3 linked regions of the Oryctolagus cuniculus genome follow. The protein of the gene in region 2 interacts with the protein of the main gene of each other region in a biochemical or structural test. Links are inferred from orthologs where the notes say so. Each region holds a gene or a part of one and is shown on either strand. Other genes may lie near its edges.

Region 1 (6,517 bases), on a different chromosome or scaffold from region 2:
TCTCCCACTCATCATCCTCTCCCGCAGGCTTTCATGGGGGCATTGGGCTCAGAATGACCCTGTCACCGTCAGCCTCTTCCTGGGCTTCAACCAGCGTCCAGTCCATCGACCTACAGGACGCACACCTCCCTCTCCAGAGGTCCAGGTTTCTTTTTATCCTTGCAGCTGCTCATAAGCACCAGAATGTTTACAGGCGTCAAAGTGGAATTCCAGGGGCCAGGCGTTTCGTGCAGCATTTAAGATGCTGCCTGGGACACCTCCATCCCAGATCCGAGTGCCCGGGCCTGAGTCTTGCCTCTGCTTCTATTCCAGCTTCCTGCTGGAACGCAGCAGGTGATGGGTCTAGTGGTTGGGTCCTTCCCACCCACGTGGGAAATCTTGATGGAGTTCTGGGCTCCTGGTTTCTGTCTGGCCCTGCTCTGGCTGTTGCAGGCATTTGAGGAGTCAACCAGTGGCTGGAAGACCTCTGTCTCTTTCAAATATAATATTTAAAAAAAAAAAAGTAAAATCTGGGGTGCTGGAGCTGTGGCATAGCAGGTAAAGCCGCCACCTGCAGGGCCGGCATTCTGTATGGGCGCTGGTTCAAGTCCTCGCTGCTCCACTTCCCATCCAGCTCTCTGCTATGGCCTGGGAAAGCAGTAGAAGATGGCCCAAGTCCTCGGGCCCCTGCACCCATGTGGGAGACCTAGAAGAAGCTCCTGGCTCCTGGCTTTGGATCAGCCCAGCTCCAGCTGTTGTGGCCATTTGGGGAGTGAACCAGTGGATGAAGACCTCTCTCTCTCTCCCTGCCTCTGTAACTCTTTCAAATAAATAAATAAACTTAAAAAAAAAGAAAAGAAAAGAAAAGAAAAGAAAAGAAATCCGGGGAAGGCATTGTGGCACAGCAGGTTAAACTGCCACTTGGGACATCACATCCTACATCAGAGCATCAGTTCAGGTCCTGACTGCTCCACTTCCGATCCAGTTTCGTAATAATGTGCCCGAGAGGCAGCAGGTGATGGCCCGGGTACTCGGGTCCCTGCCACCATGTGGAGGCCAGGATGGAGTTCCAAGGTCCTGGCTTTGGCCTGGCCCAGCTCCAGTTGTTGCAAACATTTGGGGAGTGAACCAGCAGATGGAAGACCTCTCTCTCTCTCTCTCTCTCTGCCTCTGCCTGTCACTCTGCCTTTCAAATAAATAAACAAATCTTACCATTTTTAAAAAGGTGAAATTCCAAAGGAGAATTCGTCATCTTTCCCAGATCTGTTCTTCTGCCACTTTGTATTCCAAGCTGGAACCTGTGCATCCCTCAAGCCCATGTCCTACCAGATACAACATTCTACCAGGCCCGCCCCCACCACCCCAGCTCCTCGGCTTATTTTTTAAGGTTTATTTATGTATTTGGAAGGCGGAGTTACAGAGAGACACGGGTAGAGACAGAGATCTTCCATCTGCTGGTTCACTCCCCAAAGGGTTCTAACAGCCAGGGCTGAGCCAGGCTGAAGCCAGGAGCCAGGAACTCCATCTGGGTCTCCCACATGGGTGCAGGGACCCAAGCGCTTTGGCCGCCTTCTGCTGCTTTCCCAGGCGCGGAAGCGGGGAGCTGGATCAGAAGGGGAGCATCAGTGTTAGCCCCATTCCTTCTGCTTAAACAAGGGTCTCGGTCACAGACACCGTCCCCCAGACTCGGCCCCTCCCCCGCACTGCACCCTACTCCTTACTCACGGCTGCAACAGTGCAGCCCCCAAATCCGACCTGACCACAGCACCTCTCTGGACTTGAGGCTGCCCGTGGGGTCTGGTGACCCACAGGGCCTACACTCACCACGCTGCGCTTCTCAGCGCCGTCCCAACAGCTTGGACGCACTCAGGCACTGCAACCCCAGAGCCAACCACGTGGGAACCGAATGTTCTGGGTCTGTGTGGCTGTCAATTACCCCAGCAGCCAGAGGCAGCCAAGGTCTCCTGAGCCTTGCTTCATGCTAGAAAGAGGCCTGAGGTCCAGACCCACACGTGGGTCCCCATGGAGTGGGGAACGGACTCGAGGTGACCCTGTAGGGACTGGCAGGCTACCTCCCTCAGGTTAAAGCTGGGGAATAAAGGAAGCAGCTGTGCACACAGGCCCCCGCTCCCGCCACCACCGCCATCCCAGCAGGCTCAGCTCTCGCTGCCCGCCCCGCCTCTATCCCTGGTAGAAAGCCTCTCTCCAGAGAGAAGCCCACCTCTGCAAGCCCAAGGACACAGGGACTGGCAGGACAGGAGGTCCCCAACCCAGAAGACAGACTCTGGACCCTCCCTCAACTTGCACCCGAGGGGCCCGGGGCCCCACACCAGCCCCATACGCCAGTGCGGCGGACTCACAAGTCATGGAAGCTGCGCAGGGAGGAGGCTGGGGTAAAGACATCCAGGAGCCCAATGACCTGGGGAAGAAGCCATCAGTGAGGCCTGGGCAGGCGCCGCCATGTCCTCCAGTGCCCAAGGGTCCCGGCCACACACAGGACTGCCCCCCCACCCGCCCTTCCTAACATATCACTCCCAGCAGGAGCCAGGCCCCCCAGCCTCGCTGGAAGCAGTAAGGGGATGGAGGTCAAAGAGGAGTGGGCCCCCTACCCCATTTGGGAGGGAGCTTGTACCCTGCGCAGGGAGGGAGGTGGGCAGAGCAGTGAGGCCTGCTCAGTGCATCGCTCCCAAGTCTGCGTTCAGGGAGAGCAGCACAAGCCCGCTCTCTGCTCTAGCCGGAGGGGAGGGGCCTCCAGCCTGCAGGCTCCCTGCCCTTGGCCTTGGGTTCCCCAGCCACATTTGCCCAGGCCTGCCACAGGCTCATTCAGAGCCAGTGACAAGATCACCCCCTGCCTGAGGTCACAGGGGAAGGGTCTGCTGCACAAGGAGGCAGGGGGGAACTTTGGTGGTGACAACGGTTTGAAATCATTATTTGAAATAGTTCTCCTCTAATCTAGACACCCTGGGGCTGTGGATGCTGGGCCCAGAGCTGGGTCCTGGGCTTTGCCTTGCCGTTTCTGCCAAGCAGGGCTGGGCAGCTCCGCTGAAACCCCAGCTCTGCCACTGACTGACCAATTAACCCGGGAAACCTCTGTGACTCAGTTTCCCCCTCTGCGACAAGGTGGCAACAGTACTTATCTCCAGAAAGACCCTGTGGCCCTTCCTGGTCAGTGCGCAGGGCACGACGTGGTATCGGGGAACCTTAATAGCGGGGCGGGAAGCGGGCCCGGTGGGGCAGGGAGGGGTCTTCGGCTGCGCCCCCCCGCGCGCCCTACGTTCTCATGCTGCATGTGTTTGAGCAGCAGCAGCTCGCGGTAGGCCCGCCTGGCGAAGATCTCCGACTGGAAGGGCCGGCTAAGCTTCTTGATGGCCACCTTCTCCCCAGACCGCTTGTCGATGGCGGAGCTGCGGGGGCACAAGGCAGGTCAGCGGGCGGCAGCCTTCCTGCCTGGACGGCGCCCACCCCTGGTCCCCGCACGCGCGCGCTCCTGGGCCACCTGCACCCCCAACCCTACTCGGCTCCTTGGAGGCCAGGCTGGGAGGGACGCTGCCCACTGCCTGCGACGTGGAAGGGCGGAGGGCCAGGAGTGCGGGGAGGAGGCTGGAGCCGAGCGGGGGCCACGGCTCCGAGGGCTGGCTCCTTTCGCCGCCGACGGGACGCGGAGCCTCCCACTGCAACCCGGAAAATCCCTTCCCCTTCCTGGGCCTCCGCGCACTCATCCGTGGCAAAGGGGACCTGCCCAGGAGCTCTGGGGAGCCCACTCAGTCCTGATTCGCCCCGCTGAGACCCCCACACGGCCCTCCCGGCAGAGAAAGGCGGTCCGTGGCTCCGAGCCAGCGCCGCCACCCGGGGCTGCTCTCGCGCCCTCCCTCGGCGCCCTGCTCCACCGGCTCCCCGCGCCGCCAGCTCGGCCGAGGCGGCGCCCCGACGCCTGGCGTCCCCGCGCCCCCCAGTGGCCGCGCGGCCCAGGGGTCTCACCACACGGCGCCGTAGGCCCCGCTGCCGACGTGCGTCGGGGACACGTAGGTCTTGGGCAGCTCCCAGGCGGTCTTGTTGACGTCCTGCTTGTAGAAGCCCCTTCTCCGGGTGAGGCTCATCCCGGGCACCCAGTCGCGGCTGCGGCCCCGGCACGGCGGCTGCGCCCGCGGTCCGGACTGCGCCCGCCCTCCCCCGCACGAGGGCGGGCGTTCGGCAGCGACGCGTCCCACCTGCTGGCTCAGGTGCGCTGGGCGCCGCCACGCCCGGGCCTGCCCGACAGCGCCGCACCCCCATTTGCCGGCCGGCCCCGGAGAGGCCGCCCCGAGCCACCCGCGGCAGGTGCGGGTCCCGGGACGCCGTCCGGGCTGCGGGGCGGGAGTGGGCGGCTCCCAGCCGAGTGCCGGGGTACGGGGAAGGCAGGACTCCCGGCTCCGGAAGAGCCCCCCGGCGTTTTGAAACCCATTCCGGAAAAGAAAACTCCGCAATCTTTTTGTCTCCGAAGTTTTCCCATACGGAAGTAGCCGGCGTAGCCCCGTGCGCCTCACACGTGGACGTGCACACGAATCCCGTCCCCTGGGATTTTACTTTATTGAAACCGGTTCCGATTCAGTAGATCTGGGTCAGAGCCAGGGCTGCGTGTCTGTCCAGCTGTGAGGTCCGAGTCACCTCTGGGGATGTCCGTTGTAGCAACGGATGGTCAACTTTAGGCCCCTGCATTTGTGTTTCGCCATTATTTTGATGCAACGCCTGGGCATCATATTTCATCCACAAATATTGTTACGCTTTAGAGATACAGATTGTTTTTTAAAAAAAAATAAGCATAGCACCATTTTTACACTTAAGAATTAATCACACTAATTCTATAATGCCCAAATAGCCACGCATGTTCAAACGCCCACTCTTGAACTAAAACGTCCAGTTTGTGCCCTTCGAGGACAATGACAAACAGGGACCATCTGCCTCCTGTCTTTGGTGGCTGCTGCGGCCTGAGGAGGCCTAGGAGGCCCCGGGGCGGGGGGGGGGGGGTGGCTGGGAAATGGGCAGGAGCCCTCTGTGTGCCCAGCACATGTGTCCGGTCCCGGTCTGGCGAGGCATGGGGCTGTGGCAGGGGACCATTGCTGCATCTGTCAAGGGAGAGGAGCTGTCTTCAAGGAGGAAAGGAACCGGTTGCTGGCCTTCAGCAAACAGGGGGTCCGCACAAGGGAGCCTGCAGACCCCAGACCCTTGTCACAGCCCTGCCTAGTCCTGCAGCATCAGCCTCAACCTGAAGCACCCTTTCCAGGCAGGGGGAGTGCCAGGGTCCCACTGACGTGCCCAGCTGGTGTTGTGGGCAGGGAATCTGTCTTATTTGTGTCTGACACATAGTAGGACATCCTAAGTGTATAGAGAATAAACAGAAGAGTCAGCCCATTGGAAGCAACAACATATTTCTTTAATAAACATTTGTGTTTGCCATGTGCCAGTCATCACACTAAGTGTTTCACATACACAACTCACTTAATCACCGCAAGAGGCCTGTGAGCCAGTGCCAAGATTATCTTCATCTTAGCCAGGAGGAGCCAGTCCTACCGCCAGGTTAATGGAGCAGCCCACGGGCACTCAGCTGCTAAGGAGCAGAGCTGGGCGGAGACACCGGTGCAGCCTGGTGCTATTTTGTGTCTCCACAGTGAGAGGCACGCGGCTCCTTGAAAACAGTGGCCTATGTTGCAAATCCCCTCTTGTGTCTGTGGATGGAACTAGTTCTCCCTTGGCTCAGCCTGCCCTGAGGAATTTGACATATCCAGCCTGAGACCCCGTGAGAAGGGAAAAGCTGGCATGCCTGGGAAGGAGCCAGGGGTGTTTGGGACCTTTGGGCTTGGTGACACGGGTGGAAGGCACACTGATTCTGAAGCTGGGGTGGGGTCCCACAAGGCAGGTGTAAGGGGTGGGCACTGATAAGACTCTTTGTGGGTTCCCTTCTGGGTTGAGGATTCAGCAAGGAAGGGGGCTGGACACCTGCTGGTATCTCTGACACCTAAGGAAGCAGAGGGGCGCCCCGGCAGGTGAGGAGCGCCAGGGAGGCTGCTCATTGCTTAAGTAGGTGCAATCCTACCAGGCCATGGGCCAGCCGCTGCAGCAGTGGCCCCGACACCTCTTGAGCAAGGGCCAGGAAGTGACTCAGGCCTCAGACTCTGCTGACACCGAGCCCCGCTGGGGCCCAGCCAGGCAGCTCTGGAGGGGAGGGCTTGTTGGATATGGGGTGGGGGTGGGGGCAAGGATGCGGGAGGAGGAGGGAGTCACTGAAGACACCCCCGGGGGCCCAGCACTCCCGGAACCCCCAGCACCCAGGGCTCTCTTCTCTTTATGGTCCAGGACCCCTTTGCTTGTCTCCAGCCTGGACACAGACTCAATGCTGGCTGCTTGGTTTCTGCCCGATTAACACAGAGGCGAGGTTTTAGGAAATCAGTCTGGGGAGGAGACCTGAGTTTCTTTCCCAGCTGTGTCACAATGCTGGCTGTGTGACCTTGGGCAAAGTTCCTTCCCCTCCTTGGAAAATGAAGATGATGTTAAACTAAGACAA
Region 2 (6,028 bases):
AAGTGCTTGAGTCCCTGGCTTCTATGTAGGAGACTGGGATAGTGTTCCTGACTCCTGGTTTCAGCCTGTCTCAGTCCTGGATGGTGTGGCCATTTGGGGAATGAACCAGCAAATGGAAGATCATTCCCTGTCTCTCCCTGTCACTCTACCTTGCAAATAAATAAATCTTTTAAAAATAATAGTTTTATTTTCTTAGAACTGTGATAGAAAAGGCACTCAGACTTTAAGTTAAACATTTTATTTTAAAGTGGACTGCTTTATTTTTGGTTGCTATTCCTTTATTGGATTATAACAGAAATTTTAAGAAATTTTTCATTTAGTAATATGGTAAGTAAGCTTAAGTCTAGGTAAATAGAGTACTTAAAATCATTGTACCATGGAGTATCTATTTCTACTATTATATGACAAAAACTTAATAGTGGTCTGTTTTTAATTTTAATTTTAATTTTTTTCATTTTTAACAGGTTCAATATAATTCAGAAATACAATTCTAAGAATATAATGATATTCTTTCTCTCTCCCTCCTCTCACTCCTTTTCCCTTTCTCTCCTTTTCTCTTCACTTTTGAGATAATGTATATTTAATTTACATTACAATCAAGGGCTTAATGCTAGTGGTGTGTTTTTAGTATCCAAATTAAATTTACATAGTTTCTTTGCCTAAGATTTTATTTTTAAATCAGTTATGTGACCTAATCATATTGTGTATTCTTGGGTAATGGGTTTCTCTATGATTATTTGAAGTCTGGTATGTTTATACTAACAATAATAAATTCTTTTATAGTTTAAAAACTGCTATTTCACTGTTAATGGTGGTTTTACATGTTGTGGAAATGAATTTCCTTATCATTTTAATTATTTGATCAAATTGAAAATCTTAACTGTATCTTAAAATTTTTGCCACAGCGTTTTACCAACGAGGATCATTTGGCTGTCCATAAACATAAACATGAGATGACACTGAAATTTGGTCCAGCACGTAATGACAGTGTCATTGTGGCTGGTTAGTATATGCTTTTATTAATAGCTTATATACATATTTCACCTGGAATGTGCACAATTTTTGTGTATTCTCTGTAAATAATATAATCTGGTGATATTCCAATGACTTCATTTACAATAAATGTTGGCAACATGTATTTTACCCATTACATTTCCATGTTTCCTTCTGACCATTCATTTCACATTTTGTGTGATTTTCAAGTAGAGATTTCAATGTCAGTTTCATGGAAGTTAATTAGAACTCTGGGAACATCATTCATACCATTTACAAAATTTACGTTTTTCTTACAATTGAACTAATATATTTAGTCAACGTTTCTTTTAGCTGTCTTGGCACCTGATTTACAAGGCTGTGTGAAGACAGAAAAGGATGAAGCTCCTCCTGTTGGAGAGCAAGACCTAGCAAATTTCCGGATTAGAATTTTTTTTTTTTCCAAACAAAACATTTGTCTTAGTAAAATACTCGTAAGGGGTCCTGAATTCATTAGGTGCTTTTTTTCGTGTGTGTTGACCCTACATACATACAGTATTATGTAAGCAATTATTTTTCATATTATGTGAAAAGAGAAACCCAATTCATGCATTGATTTATTCATTTCATGCTATATTAGCTAGTTATTTCAGTATATATACACACACACATCTGTGTATATACAAAATATGAATAATTTTACTATATGTATTTTATAAGGATTATGATATAAAACATTTAATATAAATTTTAGACACTTTTCTATCACAGTCACATAAATTTGCATTTCAGATACTCAAATTAACTCTAGATTCTTCTTTCTTGCACACCTTAGGTTATACTATTTGTAAGTCTGGAATTATGTCCGAAAACTTAGTAATATTAGTACTTTTAAACAACTAGTATATACATCAAATTATCATATGCAATGTTTTGCATAGGTAACACAGCAAATATTGGTTGATTTTCCTGTACTTTCAGTATCAAAAGGTTGTAATGAAATGGGGAATAACAAAAAGTAGTCAATCTATCAGAGATAATTTATGTAGGAAAGATATAGGGAATTTCAGTAGGTCTTCAGTTCCATAAATGAAAGGAAGTGTAGAAGAATGAATAATGCATTTCTTTAGTCTTCTGTGCATCAGATAATAAGACCTAGAACAACAAAAAAAAAAAATAAAAACAAGCTGAAAAGTTCACTTTCCTAGGCATGAAGATCTTTGTTTCTGTGAAACTTAATGTCTTAAAGCAATCTCTCTAATATTTTAACTCAAAAAGTGTTTTGAAGTTGGTTTCTAGAAATTATTTTCCTGTTTGTATTTAATGGAATAGAAAAATACAACACGTTCAAACACAGCATTTGACCATTTTTTTACTGACATGTTGAACAGTTTATATTGCTTTGTAACACATGATGTGTGTGGTATATATCTGATGATCAGTAGCCATATGCAATCTGCATGTTACACAGTTGTGTCTATGTTGGCTTTACTTAAGTCTAACAGTCCCAGTAGTCATTAATGAAAGTGATCTATGCTTATGCATTTCAAGACTTTTCTCTCCCTGAGTTGTGAGCTTTCTAAAGAGCTTAGATAGGCAAACCTTTTGGGTATGAGAAGAGTTAAATTTATGTTTGACTTATTAATTCAGTCATGAGGGACTTAAGCTGATACATGTACATGAAGCCTTCAATGTAGCATGATTTTGGAGATAAGAGTAGGGTATAGGTTAAAGATTATACTGATAGGCAGTAATTTGATATGATTAATAGTGACCAAGATAGGCCTGCAGTATGTCTAATGTGTATGACAAATGGGTTATTTTGATGTTGAATATATTTATGTGTAGAAAAAATATTAATACACTTTGTGTATGTTAGGGGGAAAGGTAAAATAGTAATTACCATTGTGAAACACAATAGTTAATAAATATTTGAATTTAATTTCATAAAAGAGCTCTTAATAGATTACTTTTATTTAGCTTAGGTGAAATCCTTAAAATAACTTATAAAATTCATGCCCTAAAGTAGATAAAATACTAACAAAGTTTGAATATGCTACCAATTATAATCAACATAAATAAACAGCATTGGGGACAATACAACTAAATGAGCAAAATTTACTATCTTTCATTCAACCTAGACTTTAACTGACATTTGTTCTGTAGATATATATATATATATATATGTAAACAACATAAGCTGCAAATTTAAGTATAGCTAAAATATTTGAAGTTGTAAAAAAAGTAGTTATTTTATTTGCCTAGAAATTAAGCTAGAACGTTAAGACCAAGCTTATAAAATATGCTAAAGTTGAACAATCAGCTTTAGTAGATAGTAATAAGGAGTTTGTTTTGTTTTCAGGACTTTTCACTTTCTTTTTCTTCTTTGTGGTATTTTAATCTACCTACTAAAGATACTGTTTTAATTTAAGCTTGCTTTCAAAATACATTATGAACAGCTAGTGGAAGTGCCAAGTTAAAATAAATATACATGCTCTTATCCTAGTTTTACCCAAAATGCATGTATTGAGATTATAATAATTTTTAGTAATGTAAGTTTTTTTTAAAAGTTCTTATCACTGTGTTAGATAATGATAATAGTTTATCTCTTGCGTAGAAGATGTTCATGCCACTCAAGGGAGAGTGAAGGGGTGGACAAAGGAGCAAAAGACTTCTTTCATCCTTTATGGTTCCCAAAGTTGGAGGAAATACCTGGAAGTGCAACAGAAACTTAACCAGATTTTGTTTGCTTTAAAGGAAGAGGTCTTTCCAAAGAGAGAATTAACAACTGTGACTGAACCAGTCCTTCTAATTTGTTAACTTATTGCTATATTTTAGAATCTTAATATGGTATACAATATTTAAGTCTGTGTGATTACTTCTTGACTTTATTTCAGATCAGACCCCAACTCCAACAAGATTCTTGAAAAACTGTGAAGAAGTGGGTTTGTTTAATGAGTTGGCAAGTCCATTTGAGAATGAATTCAAGAAAGCTTCAGAAGACGACATTAAAAAAGTACGTTGTTAATCGTAAAATTAAGAGAAGAGTACTTTTGATAGAAAAAATATTGCTAGCTTATACTTCATACTTTCTAATGGCCTACATTTGAACTTGTGACATTTTCTTTATTTATTGTTTACATTTTAGATGCCTCTAGATTTATCCCCTCTTGCAACACCCATCATAAGAAGTAAAATTGAGGAGCCTTCTGTTGTAGAAACAACTCACCAGGATAGTCCTTTACCTCACCCAGAGTCTACTACCAGTGATGAAAAGGTTAGAATGTTATATTTGTGATAGCATATAAGCTAAGGAGGAAAAAGTTGGTACCCCAAGTAAAGTTTAATTTTTAATGTGTAAAAGCCTCTGACTAGCCAAATATTTCAGGGAAAGAAGATTCCTTCTTTATTCAGGGCTGGGGAGCATTTTTTTCTGCCAAGGTCCATTTGGCTATTATAACATCATTTGTGGGCCATATAAAATTATCAACTTAAAAATCAGCCTGCTGTAGATTTATTGAATTTTGAGTACCACCTGTGGTTGCCTTGGCAGGGCCAGACCAAATGATTTCACAGGTCTTGTATGGCCCACAGACTGTATGTTTCCCACCCCATTAATACATAATCAACTTAAACACAGAGAAATTATAGGGGAGAATAAGAGTCATTTTAGATAAAACTTACTTTAAGAGGGAAATGTAAATTTACCATTTAATGTGGTTTTTCTGTATTTTGTTGGTTAGTTACCTTTAGATGAGGGCACTTCAGTAAGTTTATGGAAAAAAGTTTATTTTGGTGAAAAAGAACTTTCAAATCCATGCATAGTTTTTTCATAGCATACATTTTCATGAATTTTTTTCTGGTATCCATGGTATCCCAAGAATTTCAGATCAGCAGCTTAATTAAGAAATCTGTACAACTAGTAACTTGTATGAGCAATGATTATTTAGGCTTTCAAAGGATAAAGAACTAGTTATTCTCAGCAGTGGATCTTGGTTAGCAGCAACCATGATGATGATAGCATCTGGAATACCCTGGTAATAACTTGGACCCCCCTGGCCTATGCTTGTGCTACTACTTGATTACTTGTTTGTTCATAAGCACATAGAATGAACACTTACTTATTTGGGAGCACCATGTGGTGCACAGAGGAAGAGATGATGTGACATAAAAAAGAGAATGGCAATATTCTCTTTTACATTATGTTATTCGAAAACTGTAATTTATTGGACCTTACCTACTATATCAGAAGTTACCAATTAGGAAATATAGTCATATGTCAGAGAACAAAATGGACATGTTTTGAGAAATGCATCAGTTGGTAACTTTGTTAGTGTGTGAATATCACAGAGTATACCTGCAGAAGCCTACACGTATAGGCTATGTGGTGGTTTAGCCTACACATATAAGGTATGTAGTACAGCCTGTTGCTTCTAGGATAAAACCCAGATGTATTATAACTAATAGTATAGGCGGTTGTAACACAATGGCAAGTTTTTGTGTATCTAAACATGGAAATGGTACAGTAAAATATGATATAAAAGATTTTTGAAGTGGTACACCTGTTTAGGACACTTACTGTGAGTGGAGTTTGTGGGACTGGAAGTTGCCCTGGTGAGTCAGTGAGTGGTGAGTGAATGTGAAAGCATAGGACATTGCTGTACACTACTGTGTATACTTATGCTACACTAAACTTACAGTTTAAAATCATTTTTGGGGGCCAGCATTGTGGCATAGCAGGTAAAGCTGCTGCCTACAACGCTGGCATCACAAATGGGCACTAGTTCGAGCAGCACTAGGGCTGCTCCACTTCTGATCCAGCTCCCTGCTAATGCACCTGGTAAAACAACAGAACATACCCTAAGACTTGGGCCCCTGCCACCCACGTGGGAGACCAGATACAGCTCCTGTATCCTGGCTTTGGTCTGGCCCCTCCCTGGCCATTGTGGCCAAATTGGTACATGAACCCTGGGGATGGAAGATCTATCTCTCCCCATCTCTTTTCCTTTCTCTGTAACTCTACCTTTCAAATAAAATGAAATTTTTTTTTTCTTTA
Region 3 (6,689 bases), on a different chromosome or scaffold from region 2:
TCACCCCTGCCATCGCCGTCCCCCGGGCTCCCCGGCGGGGCGGCTGTGACTTTCACCCCTGCCATCGCCGTCCCCCGGGCTCCCCGGCGGGCGGCTGTGACTTTCACCCCTGCCATCGCCGTCCCCCGGGCTCCCCGGCGGGGCGGCTGTGACTTTCACCCCTGCCATCGCCGTCCCCCGGGCTCCCCGGCGGGGCGGCTGTGACTTTCACCCCTGCCATCGCTGTCCCCCGGGCTCCCCGGCGGGCGGCTGTGACTTTCACCCCTGCCATCGCCGTCCCCCGGGCTCCCCGGCGGGCGGCTGAGGGCAGGCTGGGCAGGACTTACGTGCTCCGAGGAAATCTTGGCCAGAACCTCAGGGCTGGGCGTACCCACCACCTCCATGATCCGCTTCAGCTGGTCGATGTCTGCCTTGTTCAGGAAATACCCACTGGCCATCCACCGCCCCCAGGCCCAAGAGCCCCATCTTGGGGCCCCACCCAGAGCCTCTGTCTGACAGCTGAGGATCCAAGCCTGAGGTGGCCCGGCCCAGGGCAGAGGAGAGCCAGAGCCCACCCCCACCCTGGAGGAGGGGTCCCCGCAGCGTGACGCTGCAGGCCGCACGGGCAAGGATACAGTCACTTCCCGGGAAGAGAGCCTTCCCCTGCAGCAGCTCGGCCATGATACAGCCCACGGACCAGATATCCACTGTTGGGGGAGGGGCAGGCTATCAGCCTGCCCACCCCAGCCCCTCCTCTGGAGGCTGGGGAGGAGCCGGCCCAGCGGACCCTCAGTCACACCCAGGCCGAACCCTTCCTTCTGTACACCCACGTTGGGTGGGGAGAGCAAGTGGCTCAGACCCCAGCACACACCTGCCCCGGGGACCCTTGGAAAGTCTGTTTTTGAATGCTGGTCCCAGACCCTGCCTGTCCCCCAAGACTGGGCAAGGCTCCCCCAAGGCCCCTCAGCCATGGGCCGACTCCCATCCCCGTGCCCCGGGTGGGGCCCCGGTGCGAGCCCGGTCAGCCGGCCTGGCCGCGTGAGGGCTGACGGCACCTGTCTGGTTGTAGTGCATCCAGTTCAGCATGATCTCTGGGGCTCGGTACCAGCGTGTGGCCACGTAGCCGGTCATCTCCTCGTCAGCCTGGCGGGCCAGTCCGAAGTCTAGGATCTGGGGGGACCGAGAGGTGCTCAGGGCCCCTCCTCGCCCCACAGCCCACCCGGCCCAGTCCCGCCAGTCGCTCACCCTGAGCTCGCAGTCTTCATTCACCGCCACGTTGCTGGGTTTCAGGTCCTGCGTGGGCGGGCAGAGGCCTGAGCGCAGGGATAGCGCCCGCCTGAGCCCACCCGCCGCCCGTCGCCCACGCTGCACCTACCCGGTGGATGATCCCTGCAGAGTGGATGTACTGCGGGGAGGGAGGTGGTGAGCATTGGCCATGTGCCCAGGGACCCCCACCTCCAGCCCAGGCCCTAAGACCCCGCCTGCAGCCCAGGCCCTAAGACCCCCACCTCCAGTCCAGGCCCTAAGACCCCGCCTACAGCCCAGGCCCTAAGACCCCCACCTCCAGTCCAGGCCCTAAGACCCTGCCTGCAGCCCAGGCCCTAAGACCCCCACCTCCAGCCCAGGCCCTAAGACCCCGCCTGCAGCCCAGGCCCTAAGACCCCCACCTCCAGTCCAGGCCCTAAGACCCCACCTCCAGCCCAGGCCCTAAGACCCCGCCTGCAGCCCAGGCCCTAAGACCACCACCTCCAGCCCAGGCCCTAAGACCCCCACCTCCAGTCCAGGCCCTAAGACCCCACCTCCAGCCCAGGCCCTAAGACCCCGCCTGCAGCCCAGGCCCTAAGACCACCACCTCCAGCCCAGGCCCTAAGACCCCACCTCCAGCCCAGGCCCTAAGACCCCACCTCTAGCCCACGCCCAGAGACCCCCACCTTCAGCCCACGCAGCAGCTGGTATACCAGGAACTGGACGTGTTCGTCACTCAGCGCCTGGCACTTGACGATGTTGTTCAGGTCTGCGCCCATCAGGGTGGTCACCAAGTACCTGGGGCAAGGTAGGGGGTCAGGGGTCAGGCCGGAGCCCCACTGCCGTGGGCCGAAGGTGCTCCTCTAGCCGCCAGGCACTCACACTTCACTGAAGTCCTCGATGGACGTGGCTGGCGTGAAGACGTCCAGAAGCCCGATGACCTGGGAGGCAGGAAAGCAGCTGGGCAGCATGCGGTGGGCAGGGCTCGGCCCCAGGCCAGAGCCCTCCTCCTGCCAGCCCTCCCTCCCATTGGCCCAGGGCCCGGGGCCCTCCTCCCGCCGGCCCTCCCCCCCACCGGGCTTCCCCACCCCCCCCGCCCTCCCCCCCCCGCCGGCCCTCCCCACCCCCCCCGCCCTCCCCCCCACCCTCCCTCCCACCGGTCCTTCCCCCCACCCTCCCTCCCGCCGGCCCTCCCTCCCGCCGGCCAGCACCCGCTCACGTTCTCATGCTTGAGGTGCTTGAGCAGCCGCAGCTCCCGGTACGTCCTGCGGGCGTGGATCAGCGACTGGAAGGGCCGCGAGAGCTTCTTCACCGCCACCTTCTGCCGCAGCCGGGCGTCGTAGGCTGAGCTGGAAGGCGGGCGAGTGAGGCAGCCTCCCCAGCTCCGCGCCCAACCCCTCCTCGCCCGAGATCCAGAGGAGCCCCTGAGGCTGGGCCCCGGCTCGGGGAGAGGCCTGGGTACTCCCAGGGCAGAGGGTGCCCCCTACCCCGGGACTGGGCAGGTCCAGAAGTGTGTGCTGCATCACTGGCAACCGGAAGTGGACACTGGGAATGCCCAGCGAGGCCGGCCTTGCCCAGCCCCACGCCCCTCCCCTCGGCAGCAGCCCCTCGCCTGGCGGCAGGTGCAGCAGTCTCGGTCACGATCAGGGCTCAGCTGGGAGCAGGTCTGGAGCCCTTTGCACAGCCGGCTCTCTGGCCAATGCGCCCGCCCACGCACCCCTTCCCTTCCCCTCAGAACCCGCCCCGCAGTGAGCCCAGACTTGACTGCCCCCGGTGTGGGACGCTCATGGGTGCCAGTGGCAGAGAAAAATTCACCAGGCCCCCAGTGCCCCCATCACCAGGTTGTGACCCACAGGGGCAAATCCAAGTCACTGCTGGAGAGGAGGTGGCAGATCCTTTGGCCCAACTGCATCTGTGTGGTTAGCTGAGCAACAGGGAATGGGCACCCGCGCAGTCACCTCCTTGGCAGTGGAACTCAGCAAACATGGAGGGTTGGGGTGCAGCCCAGAAAAGCCCAGGTCCCCCTGTGGGGACTTGACACCCCCGGAACTCCCAGATGTGCAGACCCAGCCATGAGTCCACCTGGGTTCCTGCCACAATATCCTCTGGTCACTCACACACGCCGGAAGACGGTGCCCCGGTGCTGGAGTGGCCGAGGTGACCGCCTCAGGCTGCGGGGACAGGCAAAGATCCGCCCAGGTGCGGGCAGCCACGCCCGCCCACCAGTCCCCAGCCTCTCCGGCCCCACTGGGACCCAGCAGCGGCCAGTGACGACCTCGTCGGGTGCCATGGGGGCACCTGGCAGCGTCCACACCTGTGAGCAGCCTGTCTACACAACGCTGGTCTGTCACCGCCCTGTCCGGCTTTCCTGTCCTGGAGCGAAGGCCGCGGCCCAATCGGCACCCCCGCCCCCCACAAGCCGCCGTGGTCTGTTTGGGTTCAGGCTCTGGAACCTGCGCTCTGGGGATCGGGCGTCAGGTCCCCCGCTCAGGATGGAGTCCGAGACTCCTGGGAAAACGAGGAGTGGGCAGGACCCGCAAGGGGCTCCGAGGCCACGCTGCGAGCCTCCGTTTTCAAACAATGGCGCGGGGCGGGGGCGGGGTATCCGCCGGACCCTGAGCCGCGCGACCCCTAACCCAGGAACTGCGAGGGGAGCGCAGACGCCGAGGGCCCCGGGGCGCCCGGCCTCCGCCGGCCGCGCCATCCCGGGACTGGGCGCGGCAGGAAGACGACCCCCGCCCCGCTGGGGGCGGCGTGCGGCGGGCACGCTTCTCGCACGCCCTCACCCCGACGCATCGCCGCGGCCCGCGCAGGGCCCGGGGGCGGGGGCAGGCCGAGGCCCCTCCCCACGCCCGCAGCCCCGAGCGCGCCCCGCGCCCCGCCCCTACCAGACCGAGCCGTAGGCGCCGGAGCCCACCGGGCGCAGCCCCTGCAGCCTCTGCGGCACCTCCCACACCGTCTTGTTCAGCTCCTGCCGGTAGAAGCCGGCGCGGGGCCCCGACATGTCCGGAGCCGGAGCCGCGCGCAGCTGAGGGCGGCGGGGCGCGGGGCGGGGCGCTGGGCGGGGCGCGCGCGGGGCTCCTGGCTGGGGCGGGGGCGCCCGGAGCCGAGCGGAAACCGGGGCGGCGGCGGGATCCGGGCCCGGAGCTCGGGAAGCGCTTCCTCTCGGGACGGAAGGGGGTTGAGGGCCGGGCCTTTGTGGCGCCGGACCACCTGCTGGGGTCTCCCGCGGGCGCGGCCGGTCAGCACCAGGGACAGCGGCGACCCGGGGGGCCTCTGGGGCCAGGGCTCGGGAAGAAGCGGCCCCAGATGAGTCCCCTCGGGTCCCTCGTACTTTTTGCCTCTTCGGGAAGCCCACCCGAACTTCCCCAGACCCTGGGAGCCGCCCCTACCGCCCTGCGCGGCGGTCCCGTGGCCGGCGTCCTCCCGTTAAGCCCCGGCCTCGCGGGCAGTCGCCGCAGGCACGGACAGACGCTGGGTCGGGGGCTTTGGGCGGGACGCCCCCTCCCGGGATGGGAGGAACTTGGGCTCCAGTCGCCCCCTCTTTTTCAAGACGAACCCAGCGGCGCGCGCCGGTGAAGCTGGGGTGCTTGGGACCAGCGTGAAACGCGGAGCGAGCTCCCTGGACCCGCAGCTTCATGCAGACTTCATGGGTCTTGGGACCCTGGCCGGGGTCCAGGGCCTGTCCTGCTGGGGCCCCTAAGGGGTTCGGAGACCCGGGCGGGGAGGGGGACTCAGTGGATGCTTCCCCACCGCCACACGAATCGCTGGTGAGGGTCTGGAACAAGCAGGATGCAGTCTTGGCTCCATTCTCTGGACATGGACAGGTCAGCAGCATTGCTCGTGGCTCCTTCCCATCCTCACCTCTCCCTCCCCCTGCTCACTGGAAATTGGACAGTGACCGGAAGGGCTGGTCACCGCTGGGGCTGAAGGGCATTCTGGCCACCTGGACAAGCCAACATTCACCCCTCGCTGGCACCAGCCAGGCTCCTGGGTCCTGTCACTCCCATCCCTAAGGGGAGGGGTGAGGGTGGAGACCACCTGGGCGTGGATGGCAGGACCTACAGCCTTCCCCTCCCCCTGAGTGTCCCTTGCGTGTGTAGGGGTGTCCTCACAGATGAGCCCCTTCTTTCCTGACTGCCCCGGGGGACAGCAGCAGCAGACCCCTGGAAGCCAGGCCTCCAGGTTCCTGTTTCCCTACAGCCAGTGTTGGGGAGGGGCCCGAGTCACCCCCTTCCAGGAGGGGTTCACAGTCCCCTGACCCCGGCTCCTGGGCTCCCCAGCCGTAAGGGGAGGCCCCAGCGGCGAGACCAGGCCGGAGACCATTCAGACAACGCACACAGGGACAGCGAGTGTCCAGGCCGCTCTGCTTCTTCCTGGGCTCAGCCTGCTTGGGGTTCACAGGAAGCTCCGTGGGGGCAGGGCCCCTCCGTCCCATTGGCTGCAGGCCCAAACTACGTCTTCATCTTGTGGCCCCGCCCCAGGTCCTCGGGGTTACCTACCCCCACCCAGACCCCCACCAGGCAGGAGCAGAGGAGTCCGTCGCCCTCAGAGGTGCAAAGGGTGGTCCTGGGCGAGTCATCCTGGGTAGCTCGTGGGACAAAGCTGACCTCACAGCCCCAAGGCCTTGAGACTCTGGCCCTCTGTCCAGTGGGGCCGGCACACAGCGCGAGGCTTACCAGGCATCTCTCTCGCTCGCTGCTGCCTCATGCCTGCCCGGGGAAGGGAGGGGGACGCTGAGGGCGCCAGATGGGGGCGCTAGAGCCAGTCTCTTTCCAGCACCCAGCCAGGCTGGCCTGGTCCCACCTGGCCCACACAGGGGCCCACCTCAGATCCAGCAGTGTCCAGGGAAGGGGAACAGGTGGGTGGGGACAGACCAGCAGCCCCTGGAGCCCAACCAGCCAGCAGAGTGAAAAAGACAGCTGTATTTGATTTACAATGAACAAGATTTACAAAAAAGGGATGGGTGGTCCTGGTGGAGCTGCTCCCAGCCCCCCAGACCCAGGTGGGGCCTCCAGGGCAGCCTGTCTGACAGGTCGGCTGGGCTCCTCCTGGCTGCCTGGCCCCGACGTCTGACGTCCAGCGTGACCTTTGAGGTGGGGCCCGGCAAACGTGGGTGCCCCCTGGGGAGGCAGGGTGAGGTCAGGAAGGCGTCGTACCGCTTGTCCTCCGTGTCTCCTCCTGCTGTCCGTGGACAGTGGGCAGACACGTCTGGGCACTCGCCCCGGGGCTGCAGGGACTCGGATCCCACCCAGAGGCCAGGCCCTGGGCATCTGAGGCGGCTGCTGGTGCGAGGGGAGGCGGAGGCCCGACTGCCCCAGGGGCCCGGCGCGGCGTAAGGCACGTTTGCGAAACACTCAGTCTTCACACAGAGACCCCGGGCTGGCTCCGTGGGCGGGGGCTAGTACAGGCTCCGGTGCCATATTGCTCGGGGCCTGCGGCGCCCCCTGCGGGGAGAGGAGGAC

What was found.
Region 1: of the proteins of ATF2 (region 2) and MAPK13, one has a biochemical effect on the other in vitro, tested with the Homo sapiens proteins (2 studies listed by BioGRID and IntAct). The link is inferred for Oryctolagus cuniculus from reciprocal best matches to the Homo sapiens genes ATF2 and MAPK13.
Region 3: of the proteins of ATF2 (region 2) and MAPK11, one has a biochemical effect on the other in vitro, tested with the Homo sapiens proteins (4 studies listed by BioGRID and IntAct). The link is inferred for Oryctolagus cuniculus from reciprocal best matches to the Homo sapiens genes ATF2 and MAPK11.

Annotation. Positions count from the first base shown.
Region 1 is NC_091436.1:133,373,128-133,379,644, forward strand, and holds the start of MAPK13 (mitogen-activated protein kinase 13), read right to left. Parts: upstream 4,176-6,517; 5' UTR 4,077-4,175; coding exon 3,958-4,076; intron 3,384-3,957; coding exon 3,254-3,383; intron 2,399-3,253; coding exon 2,340-2,398; intron 1-2,339. UniProt on the Homo sapiens protein: Serine/threonine kinase which acts as an essential component of the MAP kinase signal transduction pathway.
Region 2 is NC_091434.1:66,025,206-66,031,233, forward strand, and holds part of ATF2 (cyclic AMP-dependent transcription factor ATF-2), read left to right. Parts: intron 1-905; coding exon 906-1,002; intron 1,003-3,869; coding exon 3,870-3,988; intron 3,989-4,120; coding exon 4,121-4,249; intron 4,250-6,028. UniProt on the Homo sapiens protein: Transcriptional activator which regulates the transcription of various genes, including those involved in anti-apoptosis, cell growth, and DNA damage response.
Region 3 is NC_091442.1:123,216,195-123,222,883, forward strand, and holds the start of MAPK11 (mitogen-activated protein kinase 11), read right to left. Parts: upstream 4,296-6,689; 5' UTR 4,229-4,295; coding exon 4,113-4,228; intron 2,574-4,112; coding exon 2,444-2,573; intron 2,166-2,443; coding exon 2,107-2,165; intron 2,023-2,106; coding exon 1,911-2,022; intron 1,385-1,910; coding exon 1,355-1,384; intron 1,273-1,354; coding exon 1,225-1,272; intron 1,150-1,224; coding exon 1,035-1,149; intron 687-1,034; coding exon 615-686; intron 407-614; coding exon 327-406; intron 1-326. UniProt on the Homo sapiens protein: Serine/threonine kinase which acts as an essential component of the MAP kinase signal transduction pathway.